Linked DNA regions of Cricetulus griseus. The protein of the gene in region 1 interacts with the protein of each later gene in a biochemical or structural test. Links are inferred from orthologs where the notes say so. Each region holds a gene or a part of one and is shown in the gene's direction. Other genes may lie near its edges.

Region 1 (2,798 bases):
TTTGTTGTACGAACATTTTACCAAGAGGGATATGTCATTTAGAACAGTTGCTGTTTTTTCTCAAGCTCCTTGGAGACTCCAGCTTGCTTATGTGCTCTTCTCTGCCTGCCCTCACCAACAAGCCATCTTAGAGGCAGGGCAGCACCTGCCAGCCTGTGAGTAGCCCCTAAAGGAACTTTTACATGTGATTCTTTCATCCCCAAAGTTAGCTGCTGTGACACAGAAGCACTGACTTCATGCTGCTGCTTGTTTTATTTATTCTGCTTTCTTATTTCTAGGTATTTTTTGATTTAATGAGGGAAATTCGAGCCAGAAAGATGGAAGACAGCAAAGAAAAGAATGGAAAAAAGAAGAGGAAAAGTTTAGCCAAGAGAATCAGAGAAAGATGCTGCATTTTATAATCAAAGCCCAAACTCCTTTCTTATCCTGACCATACTAATAAATGTAATTTATAAGCATTGCCATTGAAGGCTCAATTGACTGAAATTACTCTAACATTTGGAAATTGTTATGTATCACTAAAAGCATGAATTGGAACTGCACTGGAAGTCAAATTCACTTAAAAAAGAAATTGTGTGGCTTCACAAGAAGCAGAGCTCAACTTATTTCATAATTGCCTACATTTATCACAGTCCTGAATGTAGCGTGTAAGCTTGTTTTGGGGGGGAGGGGGGATCTTTCTTGAACTGTTAATCAAGAGGTGAGATGGGGTGGGGTGGGAGGAACGGCCACTTCCTCTGGTGTTTATTATAAAGCTTAAATTTTATATTATTTTAAAATGTCTTGGTCTTCTACTGCCTTGATAAATGACAATTGTGAACATGTTAACTGTACCACTTTTTAAACTGTTGTTATGCAAATCTAGAAGAAGAAGTTACTGGCATGGTTGTTGCATATAGTAAAACTGAGAGTAATTCATCTGTGAATCTGCATATTAATTACCTGGTAATTAACTTAGAAAAATGGTGTGAACTTATACATGGACATTTTTGAATATGCCTTAATTTAGAAACTGAAAATAATCCAGTTACATCATTCTGGGTGTGTTCTCACTAGCACTTGGGGCCACTCACTGCCCACATGACTGGTAACAAGGTTTTATCTTGCCAGGCAGTGTAAAGCTACAAGGAAGATTCCTTAGAAATATGTGTCTGCTAGGAGTCTGACCAAATTAAAGATGTGTGCCATACTCTGGTTCTTAGAGTTCCAGAGCTCCTTCATTGGTTTTAATGAACTATAAGGTAGTTAAAGATGAAGGGCCAGCATATGTTTATACAATGATTTTAGATTATGGATGTGAATACCAATTAAGTTTGAGTGAATGCTCCTTTTATGTAAGATGCTGGTCCCCAGTAATCACTTTCTGCAAGTGATTCACTTTTAAGTATTTAATCTCCTGGGAGCAGGGCATAGGGAAGACCATCAGGAAAGCTAATGTAGTTTGCACTAGGACACTTGAGGAAAGATGCTTGCCACCTGTCAGTTCTAAATGTGTACTCATGAGGGTACAGTTTGGGCATTAGAAGGAGTCTTTGTAATCTCTTTATGTTCACAATGAGTACTGTACCTGTATTTCCTAAGGTTAACATGAAGCAGTTGAACATGTTTGGCACACATTGACCAAATGTCAGACTGTGAGGTTTCTGCTGCAAGAATTCAAGCATGCTGTTAGGAGCGTAATTTCAATGGGAAGTAAACCACTATTAGATTTTTCTTTTCCTCTGTGGGGCTAAGACACTTGATTAAACAGTTTTTCTTGATGCACAGTCCTAATCTCATCAGGTCAAATCGATGCTCAGGCATTCCAGGAAACAAGTGTGTACATGAAGTTACCAGAGACAGGCGTTCAGGAACTCTGCTGTCTAGATACTACATTGAGCATATCATAAATATTTGTCCTTAAAGGGTTTGATTTAATATTTTCACAGACTAGGCCATTTGCAAAATTAGAGTTCCCTGTGTAACCCCAGCCAGCAGGCCCAGCATGGCTGCGTGCATTCGTTGCAGTCTGTTGAACCAGGGTCCTAACCACTAACATTGCAATTTGCTTTGAGACATTTCCCTCCCCTGGGTACCAGGTGCTATGAAGCCAGCTGACAGAGATGCATCACATGTCTTAGGCTGATGCCACTACCCGGTTCATTTATTTGCAATTTGAGCCATTTAAAGACCAATAAACTTCCTTTTTTAAAAATGTTTGTGGTGTTAATTGGTGTTTACAGTGTGATATTTTTTACTTTACCCCCTGGGAATCTTGATCCGATATGAAGACTGCTGAGTCTTTTGAGCATCAGTTTGAGGTACCTTCCTGTAATGGGAGATTTCTCAAATTATGGCGGAGTTGGTGCTCAGGTTTAAGTTGCTGCTCTGGATGGGAGGTTCCTTTGTACGGTTGCTGGCAGATGGGCTCTGCACTGTGTTAAAAATCTCAGCTGCCTTTGCCTTCAGATGCTTCTAAACTCCAGAATGGACAGATGGCAGATTTGTATTTGTTTTCCAATCAGAACATTGCAAAGACAGTTTTGCTTCGAAAGGTGAGTAGGAGTGCCTGACAACCCTGTTACCTTTCACATTAACTGTTGAATAGACTTGAGTTAGAAGAGCACATCCTTTCAGATTAACTACCTTAACTGCTGAGCAGTGATGGAAGGAGTGCATTTATTTGTATTAGAGCTGGAATAATTCAACTAAACACCTCAAAACAGGTAAGTTCTAGACTAAATCAGAATGTCAGGTTTCATTTTTAACTTCAGTTGCTTTAATGAACCTGAAGTGTGAACTATCAAAGCATTCTCTAA
Region 2 (3,831 bases), about 11 Mb from region 1:
CTGTCAGAATATGAACTATATGAACTACAGTAAAAATCATAGCAGAATCATAATTTCTTGACAGAAATTGTCTATATAATTTTCAAACTTGCATAAATTCAAATTCTCAGTTCACAAATTTTGGCATAAATTGAATTTTTTCATAGTTGATAATTTCTTCCTACAAAAAGTATATATTTAATAGTATGTTTTCTACCTGTTCTTATTTTCATATATTTGGGGTTAAAATTATTAGCTGGGAATTTCTTGTTACTGTAATGAGAATAATTCAGCTTTGAACTCAGACTGTTTGCTGTGTTCTTTTGTTGCATAGAAAAAGGAATTTGCTGGTCTAAGACCAAAACTTCACATATAAATAAGTAACCCTTTAAAAAGATTCTGTTCCATGTGCTTATCCAGTTACAAAGCTTAAACTCATGACATTTCTATTTTTAAAATGATAAGCAAATGCTTTAAGATAGTTTTTCTTGAAGAAAGTTTTTAAATTCTAGTCAGATTTCAAATACTCAATCAAGCCTTTATTTCGCGGCTTGGTGGTAAGAAGGAAATGTATTTCTCATCCCACAATAGAGGTTTAGTATCCACATTAAATAGCATGTGGGAAAAACAGCTCTCTTGACCAAACGAAGTTTTTATATCAGACCTTTACAATTTCAACAGAATTTAAACATTATTTAGATAAAACAATCATGTTACAAAGACGACTTTTAACAGGATCAGGCCACCCACAGTGTGGCTATGGTGTGCAAGCCACCCAGTGAGACGAGGTGAGTTTTTCATCTTTGCTTAAAGTATAGTCACTAGACCAGATAATGTAGAAACTTTTTACAAGCAGGTCAAACAGCTGAAAGCAGTTTATCCTCTCTCTTGTAGCTAATTAAAAATAATTCACATGTTGCAAAATTTAAACTATTTCTGTATATAGCAAATTTTGCCTTAGAAAAATAGCATTCATTAAAGTGATACGTATAATTTGTACTTTTTAAAGGAAAGAATCTTATGAAATATTCTGTTTGTACCTGATATTATAAAATTCTGCTGATTTAAAAAACAGTAATGATACTGTGTTTTGGTGTTGTCATTTAAGTTTATATAATCCTCTGTCCCTACAACATAGAGGGATAATTCTGTCGAAAAGTAGGGTTAGGTATAATGTCTTAAAAATTTTTTTTTTTCTGAAAACAGTTTCTCATATCTCATTTTTTACCTGATAGTTTGATACAGAATTAATTGAACTTAATTGGTGTGTGTGTGTGTGTGTGTGTGTGTGTGTGTGTGTGTGTGTGTGTGTGTGTTCCTCATTGTCCAAAATAATGAAATAGCCTAAGCACCCACAATTGCTAAAAAATTTAGAAGAGTAACTAAAATAAGTATAGATTCACACTGGAGAAAATTACTTTGGCTTAGTAAATGTTGTTACTTTTAATTAGATACTTTTCTTAACATATGAAAGGACTTAATTTTTTTTTAGCAGACTATGAAAGGTCACTATATAAGTGTCTTTTTAAAAATGTCTACTGAATTTCAGTGTAAAGATACAGTAGCAATCTAACGTTTGTATTTAGTGTTCAAATTCAGTTCGCTGTCACCTATGTTCTTTTTTGTCTGTTGGAAACAGGAGCAAGTAATACTGCTGACACATTATTTCAAGAAGTGTTAGGTCGAAAAGACAAGGCAGATTCCACTAGGAATGCACTCAACGTGCTACAGCGATTTAAATTTCTCTTCAACCTTCCTCTCAATATTAAACGGAACATTCAAAAGGTAGAGTTTATGTGTATGTACAGTTATAGATGCTGCCCACCTTAAAGATGTGTTAAGCTATTTTATATTAATCAATGTGCTTCCTGTTCTTTGCTGACGATCTCACTGTGTGCTTCTTATTTTTAGGGGGATTATGATGTGGTTATTAATGATTATGAAAAAGCCAAGTCGCTTTTTGGGAAAACAGAGGTGCAAGTTTTCAAGAAATGTAAGACTCAAGAATTTGTTACTTTCAGACCTTTCCTTTCCTTTTGTAAGACTGTGGAGTGTATATTCTACAAAGAGTGCTACTTGCATCTTAGATCTTGTTTATGCAGTGCTTTCTTTAAAATGTAAAACAATTAGTTTAAAATAACCTCACAAGTTTTCTTACTGCCCTGTAGTGGGAATGAGCATTTATGGTGGGGACTAGTCTCAGATATTCTTTGCTGTTTATTAACCACAATGCTATTAAAAGCTTTCATAGGGGAAAGAAGCAGCGACAAGCCTTTTACAGACATGGAAATGTGCACTTCAGTCTTCCCTCTTCAAGCTAAAACAGTGTATTTATGAGTTCTAATCTTACTCTAAAGCAAACTCAATACGTTTAAAAATTACTCTGCATACCAGGCTTACAGGGGGAAAAAAGCTTAAATATCTTTTGGTTAAAAACTTATTAACTAGGAGAAATACCATAGGTCTTATTAAATTTAAAAAGAATGAAACCCATAAACTCTCAAAAAGCAGGATTTATTTCTTTACTGTGGTGAAATTTCCATGCAGTGAAATGCACAGACCTTACATGTCACAGGTCACTGAATTCTGACGAATGCTTATGCCCTCCCATACACTTGGGATGGTGTGTTTTGATCCCTCCACAAAGATCCCTTGTGTCTCTTCAAAGTCAAAAAGCAACCAGTATTCTGCTTTCTGAAATTTGATTTTAAGTTCAGTTCTGTGAATCTTGAATCTTTTAAAAATAGATTATGCTGAAGTAGAAGCAGGGATTGAAGATCTAAGAGAATTACTTCTAAAGAAATTGCTGGAGACCCCATCAACCTTACATGACCAAAAGCGTTACATAAGGTAAAACTTAAGAATTCTGATAGATTGCATGTATATGTGGGATATATTGTGGACCCTGCAAAGCTAATTTGGGGGCAGTCAGGAAGCTAATGAAGTGGTGAAAGGGAAGACAATATAAATTTGGGGGGATCTGGTATAGGACATGAGTGTTCTTTGAATACGAATAAATTGGGAACAGTTATAAAGAACTCCCCCTCTGAAGGAAAGACGACCCGTCAGGCTGTCCAAAGGAAAAGCAAGCTCATTGCTCAGTCACCTGTTCCTCCTGCTGAGTAATGGTTACCATGTGACTCCCAGGTGGACTGGGTGCTGCACCCTGCAGATGCCACCCATGCTCCACAAGGTGGTTGCTCCACTGTGGTTTAGTGCAGAGTACTAAATCCTCCAGAGTACTCCTGGGAGGGAAATTGTAGCTCTGGAATGTGCCATAGTTTGACGGTAACAAAGGCTATGGAAGGTTTCCCTTTGAATATATGTCTATTTGCAAGCCTGCAGTCATTGAAAGAAGTAGTTGTGGGAATATTAAGTTGGGAATACTTTTAAAAAATTAACCAGTGGAATCAGAGGAGTTGGACCTTACAGGGTAGTAGAGAAGCTGAGGAGTCTGGGCATGTCTGTAGGAATGAGAATTTCATTCTGGGACACTCACATGAGTCCTGCACTTCCATTTTTTCATCTGCAGAGAGAGCATGACAGGCAGCACAGCTGCGTCTCAGGGTTGTTGGGAAGGTGACCATTTAAGGGGTTAGTCCAATACCTGGCATGTTAGGAGCAGGCAGTAAGTTTTATCTGTACCTAGCTTACACCCGTACTTGGAGATAAAGCATAAATCATAAGATTTTCGTATTTGAGATTTAAAAGGCTGATTTATTTTCTGCTGTGTGGTCTGTTTTCAGAACAAGCTGTTCTTTCCCAAATTCAATGACTTCTCTAATTAGTGAAATTTATAAAAAAAATTGGTAGCTTAAAAATGAAATAGACTACATATATGTATACATTTGC

Evidence for each region.
Region 2: the proteins of Rala (region 1) and Exoc2 are reported together in a solved structure, tested with the Homo sapiens proteins (2 studies listed by BioGRID, with this or other methods). The link is inferred for Cricetulus griseus from reciprocal best matches to the Homo sapiens genes RALA and EXOC2.

What each region holds. Positions count from the first base shown.
Region 1 is NC_048596.1:240,540,520-240,543,317, reverse strand, and holds the end of Rala (ras-related protein Ral-A), read left to right. Parts: intron 1-278; coding exon 279-401; 3' UTR 402-2,196; downstream 2,197-2,798. UniProt on the Homo sapiens protein: Multifunctional GTPase involved in a variety of cellular processes including gene expression, cell migration, cell proliferation, oncogenic transformation and membrane trafficking.
Region 2 is NC_048596.1:251,627,285-251,631,115, reverse strand, and holds part of Exoc2 (exocyst complex component 2), read left to right. Parts: intron 1-1,618; coding exon 1,619-1,764; intron 1,765-1,890; coding exon 1,891-1,972; intron 1,973-2,726; coding exon 2,727-2,829; intron 2,830-3,831. UniProt on the Homo sapiens protein: Component of the exocyst complex involved in the docking of exocytic vesicles with fusion sites on the plasma membrane.